Anolis sagrei: one gene and its partners. The protein of the gene in region 2 purifies or fractionates together with the protein of the main gene of each other region. This does not show direct contact. Links are inferred from orthologs where the notes say so. Each region holds a gene or a part of one and is shown on either strand. Other genes may lie near its edges. The genes, in order: MAPK8, DUSP8 and MAPK9.

Region 1 (7,060 bases), on a different chromosome or scaffold from region 2:
ATCCCATATGCATGGGAGTATTGGGGTAATGATACAAAAGGTTTGCTAGGCTAGACCCTCTTTCACTCAGACTCAGCCCCCCCCCCGAAACTCAGCCCCCCCTGAAATTTTTTTAGCCCCCCCCCCCCCCCCCCCCGAAACAAAATCCTGGCTACGGGCCTGTTTCATATGTTTCTCCAAGCTGCTCATTTTCATTGGCAACAATCTCTCATGATCTTTGTTCCTTTTCCCTCAACAAATGTTGGGTATGTGTGCCACAATATGAATGAACGATAATTCCTAAAATCATGGGTCATTTCCCCCAGAACTCTGTCAGTATTCAAAGTTGGTCATGTTTGATAAATGTGCCATGCTTGGTCCAGATCCATCACTGGTGGGAGTTTGTTGGGAGAAGCACATGAGTGAAGCCGGCAAAGTGAATGAGCAAAAGGAAGACATATAGCAGCAAGGCATTACCACTGGCAAAGTGTACTCATATTGCACAATTGCTGTAGTTTGATGCCACTTTAACAGCCATGGCTCCACCCTATGGAATCCTGGAATCTGTGGTTTGGTAAGGAACTTGGAACTCTCCACTGTATTCTTACGCTGTAGGACAGAGAGCTGACAGTGAATTCTAAGTCCTTATCAAATTACAAGACCCAGAATTCTGTGGGATGGACCCATGACCGTTAAAGTGGTGTTGTAACTTCAACTATAGGGGGAACATAGATATATCCCAGGTTTCTTACTCTTAAAAATCTGTGGCACTTGAAGGTTGCTCAGTACAATGAACCACAATGCTGATAGGCCTATCTTGAGGTGGTCACTATGCTCAGTTGAATAAAAGATTGGAAAATCGAGTCTCTGCATTTATTTACAGATTTTACTGTTCATTTGTATGCTGGAATACAAACACAGACTTCACATTTGAAACAAAATTGTGCTGGATCAGGTTAATGATTCAGTAGAGCAGTGTTTCTCAAACTGTGCTCCTCCAGGTGTTTTGGACTTCAGCTCCTAGAAATCCCAGCCAGCATACAAGCTGTTAGAACTGTGGGAGCTGAAACCCAAAACATCTGAGGAAGCACAGTTTGAGAAACCCTTCAATAGAGAAAAGCAAATACAAACACCCTCTGGACAAATTTTGCTAAGATAACCTCACGATAAAGACCTACCTTAGAGTCACTATATTTATTTATTTTATTTATTTACTTTACTTATATACCGCTGTTCTCAGCCCGAAGGTGACTCACAGCAGTTCACAACAAATAATGTCAGAAATGACTTGAAGTAATACAAGAGATTCCTCCGTGGGAATTGCAAAGCAGGATATTATATACTATCTTAGGTACCCAGTGATGTAATTTGGCTATGTAATCTGGTAAGGATAAACATTAGAAAAAGTAATTGTGTGTTTTTGGATGTTATGAGTGGTCCCGTTAGAAAATGCATATGGATCAGGGTGAGCTGCAAGTCCCACTATCATCTGTTATTTTCCCCCAACGTTGGGCATGTTGAGTCTGTGTGCCAAGGCTGGTTCAGATCAGTTGCTGGTTGGGTTCACAGTGCTCTCTGGATGCAGGTAAACTGCAAGTCCTGAAATTCAAGGTCAATTCCCCCAAAACCCACCACTATTCAAAGTTGAACATGTGGGGTATGTGTGCCACATGAGGTCCAGATCCATTTTCAGCTGGGTTCACCATGCTCTCTGGATGCAGATGAACTACAACTCCCAAAAGTCAAGGTTAACCCCCGCTCCATACCCCACCGGTATTCTAAGTTGGGTATGTTGGATTTGTGTGCCAAGTTTGATTCAGATCCGTCATTGGACTGGGTTCACAGTGCTCTCCGGATGTGGGTGAATGGCAACTCCCAAAATTCATTGAAAGCCACTTCCCCCCATGTATTTAAAATTGGGCATGTGTAGCAAGTGTGGTTCGGATTCATCATTGGCTGGGTTCACAGTGCTTGCTGGATGTGGATGAACTACAACTCCCGAAATCATGGGTCAGTCTATTCTAAACCCCCCAGTATTCAAAGTTGACCATGTTGGGTATGTGTGCCAAGTTTGGTCCAGGTCTGTTGTCAGCTGGGTTCAGGGTGCCATCTGGATGTGGGTGAACTATAACTCCTGAAATCTAGAGTCAATCCCCCCACAAAGCCCTCCAGTATGTTCTGTTGGTTGACAGAAAAGGCTGCTGGCAAAAAAGATAAGACTGGTGAAATGTCTGCCCTTAGAGGCTGAGAAAGTATTGAAGAGAAACAACTGGAAAAGCTGACATGATACAAGGATTTAAAGATCGAACTGCAAAGACTCTGGCACAAGCCAGTCAAGGTGGTCCCGGTGGTGATCGGCACACTGGGTGCAGTGCCTAAAGACCTTGACCTGCACTTAAAACACAATTGGCGCTGACAAAATTACCATCTGCCAGCTGCAAAAGGCCACCTTACTGGGATCTGCACGCATTATTCGCCAATACATCACACAGTCCTAGTCACTTGGGAAGTGTCTGACGTGTGATCCAATACAACAGCCAGCAGAGTGTCTGCTGTGGACTCATCTTGTGTTTCTAATAATAATAATCATAATCAAATCATAATAAACTTTATTTATAACCCGCCACCATCTCCCCAAAGGGGACTCGGGACGGCTAACATGAGGCCAAGCCCAAAAATAACACAGCATAATTAGACACAAAAACAACAGAAAAATGTTGTTGTTCATTCGTTCAGTCGTCTCCGACTCTTTGTGACCTCATGGACCAGCCCATGCCAGAGCTCCCTGTCGGCCGTCACCACCCCCAGCTCCTTCAAGGTCAGTCCAGTCACTTCAAGGATGCCATCCATCCATCTTGCCCTTGGTCGGCCCCTCTTCCTTTTACCTTCCACTTTCCCCAGCATAATTGTCTTCTCTAGGCTTTGCTGTCTTCTCATGATGTGGCCAAAATACTTCCACTTTGTCTCTAGTATCCTTCCCTCCAGTGAGCAGCCGGGCTTTATTTCCTGGAGGATGGACTGTTTGGATCTTCTCGCAGTCCAAGGCACTCTCAGCACTTTCCTCCAGCACCACAGCTCAAAGGCATCTATCTTCCTTCGCTCAGCCTTCCCTAAGGTCCAGCTCTCACATCCGTAGGTGACTACAGGGAATACCATGGCTTTGACTAGGCGGATCTTTGTTGCCAGTCTGATGTCTCTGCTCTTTACTATTTTATCGAGACTGGACATTGCTCTCCGCCCAAGAAGTAAGCGTCTTCTGATTTCCTGGCCACAGTCTGCATCTGCAGTAATCTTTGCACCTAGAAATACAAAGTCTGTCACGGCCTCCACATTTTCTCCCTCTATTTTCCAGTTGTCAATCATTCTTGTTGCCATAATCTTGGTTTTTTTGATGTTTAGCTGCAACCCGGCTTTTGCGAACAGAAAAATACATCACAACAAAATACATAATATAACAAAATAAAATAAACAGTGCAAAATAACATAATAAAATCAAACACAAAGGGCGGGCCAAATGCATGAGATAAAATGTTAAAGCAGAATATTATATTTCAAACAGATTATGAAAACGAAGGCAGGTATCACACTAGAAGAAGAGGCAAGGAGTCTGCAAGCCATGTGGCTGCCTCCTCCTCCTGCGGAATTCTGGGACTTGTTGTTTAGAGGAGAGGCCTTTGAAAGGCTCAGCCAAGAGAGGCCCTGGGCCTCACTCAACTACAACTCCCAGAATTCTGCAGGAGGAGGCAGCAGCAGCGACAGGGTGACAGGTGGGCGGCCTCCTCTCTCAGCGCCAATGAGTGGGGTATAGCGTGAAGCCCCCTCGAGAAGCGCGCGCTGCGTGGCCATAGCAACCCATTCGGCGCCCTTGGACAAATCACAGTCTCCCATCTTCAAGGGGGACGCCAAGGCCGCGTTCAGTCTGAACCCAACCGGAAGGGGCTGGAAGGCGCGCCAAGCACTGCCCCCCCCCCAGGCAGCCAGGGGGAGGGGCTGCCACGCGCAGGTGCGGCGCCGGTGACGTCACTCCGCCTGGTCACCCCGAGCGGCGGATGCGGAAGCGGCCCACCAACCACCGCAGACCGGAAGCGCCGCCGCGGTGCCCATCCCGCCTATGCCTCAGTCCCTGCTTAGTCGCCCGGGGAGGAGGAGGAGAAGGAGGAGCGCCGCAGTCCGGCGCCGGCCGCCACCCGCCTCGGGTGCTCTCTGCCGGGTGAGCCAGCCTGGAGGGGCGGGAAGGCTTGGTCAGCGCGGCCTTGGCCGGCCTCGGGGTGGGAGAAGGAGGAGGAGGGGGGCGAGAGAGGGAGGCTGGGTCTGGCGAGAGGCGCAGGCAGGCTGGAGGCCCCGCCTGAGGGAAAGGGATAGCGGACCTGTGTTTATCTCATGGCTGAGGAAGCAGTGCACGTCCATGTGTGAGGAAGCGGACCTTACTGAAATCAAGATCAGCTGCCTTCACATCATTCCCTTCATCTACCAAGCTTGTAACTGTCGAGCAAAATACTCCTGTACTCCTGTACTGGGTTGCTGTGGGTTTTATTGTGCTGTATGGCCATGTTCCAGTAGCATTCTCTTCTGACGTTTCTCCTGCATCTATGGCAGGCATCCTCGGGGTTTTGAGGTCTGTGGGAATGAGGCAAGTGGGGTCATTGGAATGTCCAGGGTGGGGGAAAGAACTGTTTGTCTGTTTGAGGCAAGTGTGATTATTGCAATTGGCCAGCTTGATTAGCAACTGAAAAGCCCTGCAGCTGCAAAGCCTGGCGGTTTCTGCCTGGGGACGTGCTTTGTTTGAGAGATGTAAACTGCACTTGGTTGTTTTGTCGAAGTGAGACCTCACTACCTCTGAGGATGCTTGCCATAGATGCATGCGAAACGTCAGGGGAAAATGCCTCTAGAACTTGGCCATATAGCCCGGAAAATCCTACAACAACCCACTGGCACTTGATTGCTGACTAGAGTTCCCCTGCTTCTGAGAGCCCTTCCACACATTCCTATATCCCAGAATATCAAGGCAGAAAATCCCACAATATCTACTTTGAACTGGGCTATCTGAGTCTACACTGCCATATATTCTAGTTCAAAGCAGAAAATGTGAGATTTTCTGCCTTGATATTCTGGGATATAGGGATGTGTGGAAGAGCCCTGAATGGTGTTCTTTATTTGCTGTCTTGATTCTGGTGTTTTTTTTTAATACTGGTAATCAGATTTTATTTATTTTCATGGTTCTCTCCTTTTTGTTGAAATTGTCCACATGCTTGTGGATTTTGATGACTTCTCTATGTAGTCTGACATATTGGTTGTCAAAGTGGTCCAGCATTTCTGTGTTTTCAAATAGTATTCAGTGTCCAGGTTGGTTTAGCAAAAGGTGCCCCCAGGCAACAATAGCCAGGCTTTGCCACTGTAAGGCTACTCAGTTGTTAATCAAGCTGGCTAATTGCAACATTCACACTTGCCTCAAATAAACAAGAGTTCACACTGGATTTTCCACACACACACACATTTAATCTGAGAATTCCCACAGACTTCTCCCTCTAGTTGTCAACACAACTAGAATCCCCACAGACCTCTGAACAAACCTGTGAGGATGCCTGCCATAGATGCAGGTGAAACGTCAGGAGAGAATGCTTCTGGAACATGGCCATACAGCACAAAAAAATTCACAGCAACTCAGTGATTCAGCAACACATACTCCTGAACTGTTATGCAGTCCTGTCTTTTCTCTGTCCCGTTTTAGCATTTCACTATCATCTCTACACAGTCACCCTCCCTTTTCCTTGTTCTTCCTCTCCGCATATCAAATATGTCCCACATCTTATTAATCTGTGCACCATTTTTGTCTTCTAATGAATGGGTGCAATGATTAATAAGAGTGGGCCAAATTTTATATGGGAGAAGAAAGGTAAAAAAACCTTCAAACATACATTTATATTACCTAGTGAACAGAAAACAGCCATACCAGTGGCTCTTAAAATATAAACCATGAGCTCCATATCATTTTAAATTATCTTTAAATGTTTTTGTAACTTTAATAAGTTTTATTTGGTGTAAGCTATTGTGAAAGTGAAAATGTATTAATCTTTTGATTAGCCTGGAAAATATTGCCATTATTTGCTCTTCCCAAGTGCCACTGCCAGAACTCAGAATCTAATGAGGAAAGTACAGGTTGAGTGTTTTTAATTCTCAAATACTCCACAGTTGTACACGATAGTGACCTTTTGTGTACACATAAAATTATTACATTATTTTATAGGCTGTGTGTATAAGGTGTGTATGAAGCACAAGTGGATTTCATGTTTGGGCTTGGGCCTCATCTCCAAGATATCTCATTATGCACATACAAATATTCCAAAATCTGAAATCCAAAACCCTAATGGTCCTTACCAGTTTGAATCAGGGATACTCAACCTGTATTTTGTTCATTCTGTAGAGATGCAATCTACAAAGAGTGTTATCCCCAATCTGAAATCATTTCACTGGGAAACCCTACTCTGCAAAAGAGAGGTTACCAGTACATCTGCAACAGTGGTGTTTTTTTGGATTTGACAAGGCAACTGCTTCTGGGTACCAAACAACATAAGTGACTACGGTCAAAAGATAGGTATTCTTCCTGGTTGCTGTAGGGGCCCTTCCACACAGTCCTATATTCCAGAATATCAAGGCAGAAAATCCCACATTATCTGCGTGTTCAAAGCAGATATTGTGGGATTTTCTGCCTTGATATTCTGGGATATTGGGCAGTGTGGAAGGGCCCTCGGTAAGTGACCCTTAATATCTATGCCTACTCATTTAAAAGAGTCTTCAATCACAGGCATTGGATGGAGTTTTGTCTCTACTAGTACCTATTCATTGACCTATTTCAGAGGTTCCGTGAAAAATTACTAACTTGTTAACCCACCTTTGTTCAGTAAAAGTTTTGAGTCAGATGGTGGGATGGCTTACTTATCGCTCATTGTCAACCGAAAGAGCTTGAGTGAGCCATCTCCAGCATCCTTTCCTTATATTTGGTACCACAGCAAAACATATGGATTTTCCCACATTTTTAATAGCTGTCTTGCAATATAGCTTGCCTTGCAAATATACAGTGATA
Region 2 (7,135 bases):
AGCCTCTAATCCCAAAGTACTAGCTTAATTTGGCATCCAAAACCAGGTAACAAGAGATTTGCACCCTAGAATGGAGGTGTGTCATTATATTCAATACCTGTGTTATAGGCCCGTAGCCAGGATTTTGATTCGGGGGGGGGGGGGGGGAGCTGAGTCTGGGTGAAAGAGGGTCTACCCTAGCAAACCTTTTGTATCATTACCCCAATACCCCCATACATATGGGATATATTGAGAATGGTGATCAGATCATGATATTAATAAACATAACAGTTTAAATAATGTACCAGTAAAGCCTTCTCGCCGACCACCATGAGAATTTCGGGGGGGGGGGGGGGCTGAAGCCCCTATAGCCCCCCCCCCCCCCCGGCTACATGCCTGCTGTGTTAGAAAGGACTGTCCCTCAATTATGTCATTTAAGGGGGAAATAGCACAATTCTGTTAAAGGAAGAAATGGGCCGTGGTTAGTATGGAAAATAGAGTTGTGCACAACTGTGATGGTATAAACAAAACCACCATCAACTGCAAATATGAGTGGCTTATGAAATTTAGCTCTGAATATTATTTTTCCACCCACAGCACTAGATTATGGATAGTGTTGAAACCAACTCACAGCACACACTGAAATATATGTATGAGAATGACTCCTGCACTATTATGACATCATTGCTTTACCTATGATTTAATCCACCGTCCTTTGAATTGACCTTCCAGACCAGTACATACTCATCTGCCTGCCATCACCCTGCAGGAAGCACAGCCCAGGTGTGGCTATATTCTGACCAGCAGTCATTTAGTCCATTCCTGGAGATCAAATCCTTCTTCATGCAGCAGCCAAGCCAATACCACTGTCTCAAGGTCTAGAGCAGTGTTTCTCAACTTGGGAGTTGGGACCCCGGGGGGTGGGGGGTCATGAGGAGATTTCAGAGAGGTCACCAAAGACCATCAGAAAACCTATACTTATAGGAACCCCTTTGGCAGAGAAGGCTGAAGATCTCTCCATCAGATGTGAATGCTCCCACCAAAAGCCCTCCTCAGTTGTGATTGGCTAGCTGTTTCTGAGACTCCAAGCCGGGGGGGGGGGGGGGGGGGGAGAGGAGGGGAAGGGAGAGGAAGCATGCTTGGCGCATGGTAGCATGGTGTACATGAGTGAGCAAGGGAGAGCATGTGAGGCTGGAGGGAGGCTCACGGCAGCAAGTCCCTTCAAGGCACAAGAGTTCTGTGTGGGAAGTTTGGCTCAATTCTATTGTTGGTGGGGTTCAAAATGCACTGTGATTGTAAGTGAACTATAAATCCCAGCAACGACAACTCCCAAATGTCAGGGTCTATTTTCCCCAAACTCCACCAGTGTTCATATTTGGGCATATTGGGTATTCGTGCCAAGTTTGGTGCAAATCCATCATTGTTTGAATCCACAGTGCTCCCTGGATGTAGGTGAACTACAGCTCCAAAACTCAAGGTCAATGCCCACCAGATGTTTCCAGTATTTTCTCTTGGTCATGGGAGTTCTGTGTGCCAAGTTTGGCTCAATTCTATCATTGGTGGAGTTCAGAATGCTCTTTGATTTTAGGTGAACTATAAATTCCAGCAACAGCAACTACAACTCCCAAATGACAAAATCAACCCCTCCACCCAACCCCACCAATATTCAAATTGGGGCATATTGGGTATTTGTGCCAAATTTCATCCAGTGAATGAAAATACATCCTGCTTTTCAGAGATTTACATGACGATTCAGAGCAGTAGCAAAATTACAGTTATGAAGTAACAACGAAAATAATGTTATGGTTGGGGGTCACCACAACATGAGGAACTGTAGTATTAAGGGGTCGCGGCACTAGGAAGGTTGAGAAACACTGCTCTAGTGGGTTGGGAGGTATCCCAGTCCCTCTTCCTGCAAAGAAGCCTTTCTCTACCTTCGCCTGTAAATGCAAATCCTATTTGGTCCAAGCCAACAATGTGATGCAGCAGCAAAAAAAAAGCCAATGGGATTTTGGCCTGCATCAATAGGAGCATAGTGTCTAGATCCAGGGAAGTCATGCTACCTCTCTATTCTGCCTTGGTTAGACCACACCTGGAATATTGTGTCCAATTCTGGGCACCGCAATTGAAGAGAGATATTGACAACCTGGTATGTGTCCAGAGGAGGGTGACTAAAGTGATCAATGGTCTGGAGAACAAGCCCTAGGAGGAGCGACTTAAAGAGCTGGACATGTTTAGCCTGAAGAAGAGAAGGCTGAGAGGAGACATGATAGCCATCAATAAATATGTGGGAGGAAGTCACAGGGAGGAGGGAGCAAGCTTGTTTTCTGCTTCCCTGGAGACTAGGACACGGAACAATGGCTTCAAACTACAAGAAAGGAGATTCCATCTGAACATGAGGAAGAACTTCCTGACTGTGAGAGCTGTTCAGCAATGGAACTCTATGCTCCTGAGTGTGGTGGAGGCTTCTTCTTTGGAAGCTTTTAAACAAAGGCTGGATGGCCATCTGTCAGGGGTGCTTTGAATGCAATTTTCCTGCTTCTTGACAGGGGGTCGGACTGGATGGCCCATGAGGTCTCTTCCAACTCTATGATTCTATGATTCTTTGAATGGACAGTGCTTTTTCCCCCCCTCCACTGCTGCATTCCCTGCACCAGGGCTGGAACATTTCCCGGTGAGAGTATGATAGCTGGGTCTGGAAGCTCCGAGTGTTAACAGAGATGTTGCAAAGGCGGCTGTGAATAAGGGAAGAGAAGGGGCGGAGTGAAGGCAGGGAGAGCGAAGGAAAGCTAGAAAGGAAAGGACGCTTAGGGTAAGGGTTAGGGCAAGGTTTAGGGTTTAGGTTAGGGTTACGGTAAGGGTTAGGGTTAAGGTAAGGGCAAGGTTTAGGGTTTGGGTTAGTGTAAAGGTTAGGGTAAGGTTTAGGGTTTGGGTTTGGGCAAGGTTTAGGGTTTGGGATTGTGTTAGTGTAAGGGTTAGGGTAAGGTTTGGGGTTTGGGTTAGGGTTATGTTTAGGGTAGGGGTTAGGGGTTACGGTTAGGGTATGGTTAAGGGTTAGGGTAGGGGTTAGGTTTAGTGAAAGGGTTAGGGTAAGGTTCAGGGTTTGGGTTAGGGTCAGGGTTTGAGTTAGCATAAGGGTTAGGGTAAGGTTTAGGGTTTGGGTTAGGATATGGTTTAGGGTTTGGGTTTTGGGAAATGGGTTAGGCTTACAATATGGTTCAGGGTGAGGGTGAGGGTTTCACCCTCAAAGAAGGCTTCCATGCCTTCTATATGATCTGTCTCCTCCGGCCTGGCTGCCATGAGCGAAGTCTCTCTTGCGCCAAGAGCCCTCCCGAAGGAGCGATGCGGCATCTCCGTAACGCTCGGAGCTTCCGGGCCCAGCTCTCAGGCTATTCCCCATTCCCCATTGAAGGGGAGCCATTGGGAGGGGATGAGGCCGTGAAGCGAGCTGGGGAGGCGAAAGAGGAAGCGGGAAGCCCTCGTCCCTTGTCAGCGGCGGCGGCGGCGGCAACGGAGCCTTCCCCTGGCCCGCCTCCTCCCGTTGAATCTGCACCCAAAGCCCCAGGATCAGAGGCTGACGTCATCCTGCCCCTGAGCCTCCCTCGCTGATTGGCTGCGGGTGACGTCAGGGGCGCTTCTTTTTTTCTTTCTTTTTTTTCCACCGAGGCATGACCTCATCCTCAGTTCATTTTTAGTTCCAAAGGGCAACCTCCAGTCCTGCCTTCCTGGAGCCCTTCACAGCCTGGATCAGGCTGAGCTCCATTAAATCCCCCCTCCTCTCCTCTCCTCTCCTCTCCCCACCCCCGGCCTCCTGCTGTTGCTCGGTTCCACGGGAGGGAGGGAGAGAAGGAGAGAAGGAGAGAGAGAGGGGGGGTGCGCGCGCACCTACCCGCTCACTCCTCCCGGGCTGCCCACGCTCCTCGGCGGCGGCGGGGCTGGCACCATGCGCGCGTGCCAGGGAGGCTGCGCGCGCGTGCTTGCAGAGGGCTAGCAGCCCTTGCCTCCCCTCCAGAGCTCGCTCCCTGCCTCCCTCCCTCCCCCGCCCCTCTCTCCCCGATCCTCTCCTCTCCTCTCGCTCCTGGCGAATGCGCAGACCTTTGCAAGGCAGCCCGGGTGGCGCAGGCTTGCAGGAGGAAGTGCCAGGAGGGTAAGTAAGCATGCCCTTGCTTGGAGCGGGGCTGGCGGGGGGCACACACGCCAAGGGGAAGGCACTCCGGGCTCGCCGGAAACCTTGCGGTCGTTCCCTTTCAATGGTGCCTGGGGTTGGTCCACCTGCAGCCCTGAGAGAGAGGGCGCGGAGATGCTTTGGGAGGCATACCTTTCGGACTTGCCGCATCCAGACCCACCCGCTGCCGTGGGGATCCGCTGCTTTTGGAGCCCCCTTCGGGGCCTGCCTTCGTGTGTGTGTGTGTGTGCAAAACGGGATTAGGAAGAGAGATGGGCAAGCAAGGTCGGGGCTGGCCAGAGCCACCCGCCTCGCAAGGTCGGGCTCCCATGCCAGGGGAAGAGGGCGCGCGGGGATGGGCATGGGCATGGGGATGGGGATGGGCATGCCTCTGGGCACGGTGTCTGCGGAATCCGAGTATCCTGAACTCGCTCACGGGAGCGCATCGCTGTGGTGCAGAGCCGAGAGAGCCCTGCAGCCTGCCAATCGCATATTTATGACGTGTGTTTAAGTAACAGGAGGAGGATTAAACACGGGATGGAAGAGAAGGGAAGGAAGGGAGAAATCCGATTACCCCGAGGACGCAATGAAAGCCCAGGATGGAGGAGGAAAAGCTCGGGACGTCCGTCTTGCTGCGCATTGCAAGGCTGGATCCAGGCTGCCATAGACTGCTATTCAGACTGAAAAGGCATTATAGGACTCTGCTGATCTATGTATTGTCGAAAGCTTTCATGGCCGGAATCACTGGGTTGTTGTAGGTTTTTCGGGCTGTATGGCCATGTTCTAGAAGCACTCTCTCCTGACGTTTCGCCCATTTAAGGTGGAATCAGGTGTGTTATTGCCACAACCTTATTTTCCATCTTCATCGCTATGATACTTCCTCTTGTTGATGGGAAGCTTCCCACCGGAGTGGGAGGTGTTAGCTGGCCCTGGTTGTTTCTTGTCTGGAATTCTCCTGTTTTCTGAGTGTTGTTTTTTTTTATTTACTGTCCTGATTTTAGAGGGTTTTTTAAAATGCTAATCAAGGTGGCCAGTTGCAACACCCTGGACATTCTACAGATATATGAACCCCACTTAGTTTCCAACAGACCTCACAACCTCTGAGGATGGCTGCCATAGGTGCAGGCAAAACATCAGGAGAAAATGCTTCTAGAACATGGCCATACAACCTGAAAAACCTACAACAACTCATCTACTTATGAACACTGACCATACAATGCAGTTCCGAACAGGCATTCTATAGCAGTGTGAATCCTCCCCAAGCAGGGCATTGCCTTTGCTAGATTGAACGCCACACAGGCAAATCCCAGCTGCAGTGTTTTCCCAGGAAGAGGAGAATGTCCTCTCTCTATTCCTTTTGGAGGAGGAATTGGGTGTTCTTATTGGAAGGGTCTCACGAGTTTCCCCTTGGATTGACGGGCCAGTGTTCTTGTAGTTGTGTCTATTAAGGTTTACTGCTCAAGATCCTTTAGCAGGTTGGAAGGATCAGAGAAAAGCCAGTCTGCAGCTTTATCCCTCAGTAAATAAGAGGGAATTAAACACTCTTTTAATGAAAAGGCCCTCTAGCAGGTATGAATAAGAGCTCCTGCCAGGCAACCATATTGGAGTGGTGATTCAGCACTTGGGGTCTTTAAATGCCTGCCTGCCTGCCTGCCTGCCTGCAGGGACACCTATGCAGGAGAGCTGTGCAGTCCAGTCCCACCTACTAAGCAACCACACTGTTCTGCAGAGAGACTGGGATCATCCACTGCACCTCTCCAAAATGATAAAAGCACAGAGTAGAGAGGTGTATCTGTCTCCTGGTGGCATAGCTGTGATCCTAGTGGAAATAAACATGAGAAGTGATACAGGTGAGGATGGGGAAGATGCTGGATAGGCGTCCCCTTGTTAGAGGGAATGAGAATGTCTTCTTCTTGCAGGGCTTGTCAACAAGTTAAACATAATGTCATTCACCGGCTAAAAAAGACAATGGGATTTTGGCCTGCATCATAGGAGCATAGTGTCTAGATCCAGAGAAGTCATGCTGCCCCTCTATTCTGCCTTGGTTAGACCACATCTGGAATAGTGTGTCCAGTTCTGAGTTGAAGGGAGATGTTGACAAGCTGGAATTGTCCAGAATTGTCCAGAAGAGGAATTGTCCAGAAGAGGACGACTCAAATGATAAAGGGCCTGGAGAACAAGCCCTATGAGGAGCAGCTTAAAGAGTTGGGCATGTTTAGCCTGCAGAAGAGAAGGCTGAGAGGAGGCATGATGGCCATGTATGAGGGGGAGACATAGGGAGGAGGGAGCAAGCTTGTTTTCTGCTGCTCTGGAGACTGGGATGTGGAACAATGGCTTCAAACTACAGGAAAGGAGATTCCACCTGACCATTAAGAAAAACTTCCTGACCATGAGAACTGTTCAGCAATGGAACTCTCTGCCCTGGAGTGTAGTGGAGGCTTCTTCTTTGGAGGCTTTTAAACAGATGCTGGTTGGCTATCTGTTGGAGGTGCTTTGAATGCAATTTTCCTGCTTCTTGGCAGGGGGTTGGACTAAATTGCCCACAAGGTCTCTTCCAACTCTATGCTTCTATGATTCGTGGCTGGGCATAGGGATGTGACTGAGTGCAAGAAGAAGATCCAGACCTTCTTCTTTTATACAGTTTGTGCACCCATGGTGGCAACCTGTTTCTTAACATCTTTTAAATGTAAAGGGGTTTCTATCTATTTCTTGTATAGGAATCTTACCAATCCTAACTCAAAACCTCTGATTTGTAGTATTTCCTAGGTACAGGTAGAGCATCCCTTATTATGTGGAATACCAAAATTCTCCCAAATCCAAAATTGTGGGTGGCTGAGACTTTCATTTTCTGTTGGTTCAACATGTACACACAAAATGTGCATACACACAATTATTAAATGTGCTGTTTATAAAATTCCTGAAGAACTATGCATATAAAGCAGGCATGGGCAAACTTGGGCCCTCCAGGTGTTTTGGACTTCAACTCCCACA
Region 3 (7,590 bases), on a different chromosome or scaffold from region 2:
TTGGAGAGATACCGATAGAAAGAAAAAGGAAAGGGGTGGAAAGATACAGGCACACTTTGGCTCAGCGCTAAGATTTCATGGCGGGGGGGAGGGGGGAGGCCCGGTCGTAACTATGAGTTGTTTGTACATTGGATGTTTATAACTTGAGGATGGCCTGTATAAGTAAACTCGGTTTTTTAAATCATCTTTTGGGTAGCTACAGTAGGTTACTTTGATATTATTTGTATAGATGAAGAACAGGGTACTGTTTTTCCTCTGGGTTTTACTGAAGCTAAGAAGAAAACAGCAATTCTACCATACACCATTACATAAAAGAAGACTGGAGGTATGCGTACACAAGTTTTGTCCAGAATACATGGCAGTTACATACTATTCCTGAACTGTATTATTTCTCTCAAGCACCCAAGGGAAACAGGAATGAACCACCACAGAATCTTCCAGTAGTGATTGAATACTAAAATACAGCTGGTCAAAAGTGAATCATACATTGATTGGAGCACATCCAGGTATGAACCAGCAGTAAAGTGCCACTGCAAATGCACCAAATGGCATCTTATGTCACTGTTGTGAAAACTGAAGATTGTATAATGCTTGGTCATGTTCTATGATATATATATGTAAGAAAATCTTCAAATAAAAAAAATCACAAGATTAGCTAACATATATTATTTATTCATTGAAATGTAAAATATGCATCTGCACTAAAATTAAGTAATACTCCCTAAAACAAGAAGTACGCTTCCATGTCTACTAAACTGCAAGAGCAGAAATTACATGATCATTCCCTATAAAGTATATAAATTAGAAGTTACTGATACTATGACATTGCATGTACTGGTAAACATGTGCGCTCAAACCATAGCATATAGCTTATTAACTATGCTAGGTCATTGTCGCCTTCATGAGAAACACATGTGAAAGTAAATCTCACTGAGTGTATTTGTGTACAACAGAGTTGCATGGGAATAGATAACAACACAATTTGTTATAGAGGTGCAGCTCCAAAATGTCAGCTAGTTTTGGTTTTCTGTAGATTTATCCAACAGAAAACATATTGGATTTGGATTTGAGTCTCCATGATTGCAACATCTGTTGTAAACCCTACATTTACTGATTGCACAGTCAACTTATATAGTAATCTGACAAGTCAAATCTCCCAAAATCACTTTCCCGCTGTCTTAGGAATTAGTGATTTCTCCCAATAGTGAACATATGTTCAAGAAAGTTATTAATGTATTTTTCATATAAGGAAAGTAATCGATAAACAGTAATAAAATTGAAGAAAATAAAATAAACATCATGACTGAGACATACTATAGGAAGAGAACAATCTTTTGCTAGTAAAGAAACTAACTGCCCTAACCAATCAGTAGAAACAAATCAGTCCAACAACCAATCTTAAAAGGCAGTATATGAATTTGAGGACAGCAGGATATAACACAACCCAGACTTAACAATCTCACATACATAACTTTTTAAAAGAAGAAACAAACAGACACCTACATGCAAAGCAAAGTAATAATGATGATGATAACTATTTTATTCTTATATCCCACCACTATCTCCCCAAAGGGACTTGGGGCAGCTTACAGATGGCACAAACAAACATAAAAGTAAACACAACGTAAAATACAATACAATAAAACAATGGACATATAAAAACATCAATTCAGACTGCAATCCTCTAACCGTGGAGGTAAATTGATGGCAGCGTGGCCAGGCTATAAACACTGGAATAAAATAAGTGCCATCCACGAAGAGTCTAGAACTGCCTCCAACACCAACATCTCCAATAAAAATAGTGCAATATATTGTGGCTGGTTTGAGATGGCATTTTGTAGTTACACAAAATGGAACTTGTGCAATTGACCCTTAAAAGTAAACCTCATTAGTAAATTCATTTGAAACCCTACTTTCAAATGAACAGGTGCAGAATTGTGCTACTAATTCCCATCTCCTTAACTACCCCATGTCATAGACTAGGGTGGGAATCATAGTACCTTCCAGATGTTGTAGGGCCTCAGCTAGCATCACGCCTAGATTTGTGCTTCAACACCTGGAGGCCCACAAGACCCTATTTCCCAGTGGTTCTCAACCTGTGGGTCCACAGATGGTTTGGCCTACAATTCCTAGAAATCCCAACCAGCTTACCAGCTGTTTGGATTTCCGGGAGCCGAAGGCCAAAACATCTGGGGTCCCGCAGGTTGAGAACCATTGCTATTGCCAGAAGAGACAGCTGGATTCACTGATTAATGCATGATGTTCACCTCAAGCAGGGATGATGAAGAGGATGTGTGAGTGGACCAGGAGGGGAAATGGCTTTCCTGAAAGTCTTTCTCCTCGCCAAAAAAGGAGACCTTGCCCATCGCATCCTCCAAACCTTAAAACAAGGGTCCACAACCGTAAGCCAATGCTGAGATTCGCAATTCAACATCTGGATGCCCACTATGGCCAGCAGAGACAGTTCCCTGCACTGATGATTGCAAGATGCTCACCTCCAGAAAGCGCCATATGCCTAGCCCGTGAAAACGATGGGTGCAAGTGGCGGGGGAAGGGGGGGGGTGGCTCGGGAGAGGCTGCTGGCCCAAGGAGGAGGCCTGGCCCTTCACGAACAAGGGCCAAAAACCCTCTCCGGGGCCAAGCCGCATCCCAAGCCTCTTCTCCTGGCCAAAGAGCAGGCGAGGCGGAGGGGAGTGCGGCCCCCGAGAGGGGAATGGGCAAGGCGCGGGGGGGGGGTAAAGGTCGCCCCGATCTCCGAGGCCTCGTCGGGCGAGTCCCAGGCCAGGAATGGCTCTAGGCGGGGGCGCAGGCCGAGGCGGATGGTCGTAGCCGCCGCCGCCGCCCCCCTCAAGGTGGCTCGGCCCCCCTCCCCTCCTCCCCGCAGAAATCCCGCTCGCTCCTCGGCCGCACCGTCGGCGGCGCCTCCTTCGGCCTGCCTCACCTCCGCGACACCCGCTCTGGGAGGCGCACTCGGCGGCGGCGGCGGCGCTCGTTCCCTCCAGAGGCTCCCCAGACTCTCCAGCTGCAATGGCCTCCCTCAGTCTCTCACAGGCCGCACCAGGCCCCGATCTGCTGACGGACACCCGCGCGCCCAATCCGCGCTGAGGACCTCCCAGGCTCAACCAACCAGCCCTCGGAGGCGGGGCTTAAAGGCCACTATATATGGCGGGAGGCGCTCTGCGCGCCTTCCTGTGTCACCGAGGGAGGGGAAGGAAGCAGGGAGGGGACGAGGGAAGCTTTTGAGCTCATGTCATCTGCCTTTGAATTTGACACTCTCCCTCACTGTCGAGTCCGGAGTCCTATTATTATTATTATTATTGACACAAAAGCACAGTATGTCACAGCAAACGAGATCTATATGCTGGATTTCGTATGACAAAATCACAAGTTGAACACTTCTCAAGCGTCTAGGACTATTATTATTGTTATTATTATTATTATTATTATTATTATACAGACAAAAACACAGTATGTCACAGCAAATGAGAGCTATATGCTGGACTTCATATCACAAAATCACAAGTCGAACGCTTCCCAATTATTATTATTATTATTATTATTAGAAACACAAGATGAGTTCACAGCAGAGAAGATCACTCTGCTGGCTGTTGAATTGGATCACACGTCGGACACTTCCCAAGTGTCTAGGACTGTGTGATGTATCAGCAAATAATCTGTGCAGATCCCAATAGGGTGGCCCTCTGCAGCTGGCCGATGGTAATTTTGTCAGCGCCAATTGTGTTTAAGTGCAGGCCAAGGTCTTTAGGCACTGCACCCAGTGTGTCGATCATCACTGGGACCACCTTGACTGGCTTGTGCCAGAGTCTTTGCAGTTCAATCTTTAAATATTTGGCAGTGTGGACTTAGATAACTCAATTCAAAGCAGATGTTGTGGGTTATTTTGCCTTGATATTCTAAGTTATATGGTTGTGTGGAAGGGCAGGAAGGAAAACATAATCAATATTAGTTATCAAAATACTTGAAGGGAAAAACTGAGAGGAACATGTTTTCTTCTTTCTGTCTGTACTCATATGTACAAACCAAAAGGACTTTCCAAAGCCAGTGAGGCACCAATTAATAGATGTTTATTATGAGTTGGATCCTACTTCAGTATACCTGCAGCACATGATGTTTAAATGGATGCATCTTAGTTTTGGCTAATTTGAGTGCTCCTGGTCCACTTTTTCCATCTTGACCCAATCCTGGTCAGTGTCAGCATATAAATCAAATTGTAGTTCAAAAAGTGGTATGTCATGGGCAAGGAAAAACAGCTGACTCAAGCACTATGATTGTAAATAGAAAAAAGCACCCCCAACAATGAGATAAATCTGCCTTGACCTAGCAATGAGATACATATTTAAAGTGGCAGTTTGATCACTCTGTCCTCATTTCAATTAATTGTGTTAATTGTAACTGTGTGTTTTTTAAAGGAATTTTATTAAATTTTATATAGAATACAACGAAAGAGTGAGAACAATTAGGTATAGAAAAGTAAAGAAAAAAGAGAGAGGGAAAGGCCAATAAAGTAAGAAGTAAAAAAAGATATCCTAAATAAAACCCTACAAAATCCACATACAAAAAAAATAGAAAAATAAAAATAAAGAAAAAAAGTGACTTCCATTCCATCTTCTTGGATAAAATATTCTTGTTATTCAAAAATATATTTTTTTTATTAAAGATAATAAAATTGTCTCTCTTGTTTTTTTATATTCGCAAATTGTCCAGATAGTCATGAAGATTGTCCCAATTCGTTCTTTTTATTATCATGCCTGTATTTTTCTTCAACAAAAAAGTCAGTTCGTCCATGTCCTTTATTTCTCTGATTTTTTCCACCCAATCCTGTACGGGTGGTACTGTGCCTTGCTTCCACTCTCTAGCAAAAACAATTCTAGCAGTGGTCGTTGTATATGTAAAAAGTTTGTCCTCTTGTTCCGTCAAAGATTTCAGGGTAAGGTTTGAGCCAACCAGTTTTTGTGCTCATTTTATAGTTGAAGGCCATTCACAATTGCCATTCTCAATAGAGGGAGAACATGATGAAGGGCAAGCATGTAGATTTATAGGGTTTATGCTGATTTGAAGGCATAGGACTGGAGAAATGGCACATGGTGCCTTGTATGGCCAACTCATCTCTGTTTGCCACAATAGTGTCCTAATGGCTCACTGACAATTCTATAAGGAGTAAAAGTAATAGCTCTCTCCTATTAATTCCCAGCAAATGGTGCTTCCCTGAAGTTGATAGTTTCAAACAACATACCATTACTTGGGGCCATGCATAAGACATATCTATTTGTGTAATTCCCTTTCAAAGTTATGCAAGCTAGTGGTAATTACATCTTGTGGCAGGTAATTTTATCAATTAACTGTGATTTGTATGAAGATATTTGCCAGGAAGATTCAGAATTCTAGTGTAGGAAAGAAATATCTAATTTGCCCCTGTATATAGGTACTTATATTTCAATCGTGGCTTGCTATCTATCCATATACAATCATACACAGCAGATGCCACCCTAAACACAAGAATCCAAAGGTGGCATAGACAAACACAATTTAAGACAGACTATATTGTATGGTTATACTTTTTAGAATAGGCAATTTAAAATAAGTGAGAATCACCTGAAACTTTGCAAATGATAAAATTGAATTAAAATCAAGTTGACTTCAAAGGGTTTAATAAAAAAAATGTGCTTACTCAGTGCCAGAATGCTTTGTATCAATGTTGGATACCCAATGGATCTCTGAGGGAAGGATATTCCACAATTTGTGAATATCCGTCCTATCATACATGCCTGCCCTCTTTTAGTTTGGGATGCAAAGGCTGCCTTTTTTTTAAAGGATGTTTATGTACACAATTCTTTTGGGGCAATTAGTACTTCAGTTTTCAATAAGATAGACAGGTTAGAATCTTTGGATACAAGAGCACAGAGGCATCACAAAGCTCCTTTCTTGCCCAACTTCATCCTTTTATATCTTTTCTATAACTAGCTACCACCTTAGTATTTCTGGCTATTGGTTTTTGTTGTGTATTGTCTGAGCTTTAAGGCTGATGTTTTTATACCCATTTATTTGTGTTTTATCTGATTATGTTTTGTTTTGGTATGTTTTATTTTAATTGTATTTTGTTTTTAATGGATTGTTTTGCTTTTATGTTTTTGCCTTATGTACTGAGTCATGCCAGCCGCATGACCTTGGAGGTGTCTACGGACAATGCCGGCTCTTCGGCTTAGAAATAGAGATGAGCACCACACCCCAGAGTCGGACACGACTGGACTTAATGTCAGGGGAAAACCTTTACCTACTGTGGACGTTTTGTCCCATGTCTAAGCAGCCCTGAGTCCCTTTGGGGAGATGGAGGCAGGGTATAAAAATTATTACCACACACTAAATTGATAGTGTCATTGAGCTATACAGTTGTTTCTGTTTCCTTGAATTCTTTATCCATAGATTCAATCATCCACGGGCTTGTAAATATCCCTGCCCGCCCCCACCCAAAATCCAAAAAACAAACCTTGATTTTGCCATTTTGTTTAAGACATTAATTTACCATAACATTGTTTATAATGGTACTTGAGCATCCATGGATTTTAGTATCCAAAGAGTGTCCTGGAACCAAACCCCAGCTAATACAAAGGGCCAATTGTACTCATATTGAGATATACTCGTTGAACCACCTCAACATCTCTTTATAGGTGAAACCCCAGCTGCTCAGGCATTTTCACTGTCACTGGTGATTTCAGACTTTTAAAATGTTAAGCTTTTCTTCTCTGTAGAGCCCTATCCTAAACTACAATTTTGAATACCGCTAAAGCAAGATCCAGGGCCCACTTTTCCATGCCTAAGACCTCTGTGTACTCCTTTCCCCACAAATTTGGTCCCACAAGCTTGGCTGTGAGACCAAGCTTTCAGGATGATGCAATAAAGCAGCAATAGGAAACCTTACCAGGCCAATTAGATTGGACGCAGATGATCAAGACAGTTTTAAACAGTGTATTTTAATATTTAGACAAATGTTTTTAATGTTTATGTATGCATATAATGAATTCTTATCCTGGCATTGAATGTTTGCCGTATATATGCTGTGCTCCGCCCTGAGTCCTCTTCCTGGTTAGAAGGGTGGAATATAAATGTTTTAAATAATAAATAAGTAATAAACACCAAACAAACTGGTCTAAGCATCAAATTTTCTAACACCTTTGACTTTTCAAAAGGCACAGGGGAGGCTAACCTTGTTTAAAAGGGAAAACCACAGTTCCAGGTATAGCAGTTTCAGAAGGGGGATTTTTTCCCTTTGCTTATTTATTTACAGTATTTATATACTGCTTTTCTCACCCCTGGGGGGACTCAAAGCGGGTTACACAGAAATAATGGCAAAATTCAATGTCTTACATACATAAACCAAATCACAAATCAACACCATATAATTAATCATAAAATTAATAGGACAATTTACTATAAGATAAGGAAAAAAAGACATTTAAAATGTGAAATATAAGAATTAAAACACCTAATAAAAACATTAAAATCACATGATCCAAACGCGTAGACCAGGCTATTCCAATGTCGATGCGTGTACAGACATGATCCAGGGGTCAT

Evidence for each region.
Region 1: the proteins of DUSP8 (region 2) and MAPK8 purify together in Homo sapiens (affinity purification with mass spectrometry; 3 studies listed by BioGRID and IntAct, counting the BioPlex papers as one, with this or other methods). This does not show direct contact. The link is inferred for Anolis sagrei from reciprocal best matches to the Homo sapiens genes DUSP8 and MAPK8.
Region 3: the proteins of DUSP8 (region 2) and MAPK9 purify together in Homo sapiens (affinity purification with mass spectrometry; 4 studies listed by BioGRID and IntAct, with this or other methods). This does not show direct contact. The link is inferred for Anolis sagrei from reciprocal best matches to the Homo sapiens genes DUSP8 and MAPK9.

What each region holds. Positions count from the first base shown.
Region 1 is NC_090023.1:142,173,277-142,180,336, reverse strand, and holds the start of MAPK8 (mitogen-activated protein kinase 8), read left to right. Parts: upstream 1-4,033; 5' UTR 4,034-4,189; intron 4,190-7,060. UniProt on the Homo sapiens protein: Serine/threonine-protein kinase involved in various processes such as cell proliferation, differentiation, migration, transformation and programmed cell death.
Region 2 is NC_090021.1:243,965,458-243,972,592, reverse strand, and holds the start of DUSP8 (dual specificity protein phosphatase 8), read left to right. Parts: upstream 1-4,038; 5' UTR 4,039-4,126; intron 4,127-7,135. UniProt on the Homo sapiens protein: Has phosphatase activity with synthetic phosphatase substrates and negatively regulates mitogen-activated protein kinase activity, presumably by catalysing their dephosphorylation.
Region 3 is NC_090022.1:87,597,473-87,605,062, reverse strand, and holds the start of MAPK9 (mitogen-activated protein kinase 9), read right to left. Parts: upstream 3,082-7,590; 5' UTR 2,942-3,081; intron 1-2,941. UniProt on the Homo sapiens protein: Serine/threonine-protein kinase involved in various processes such as cell proliferation, differentiation, migration, transformation and programmed cell death.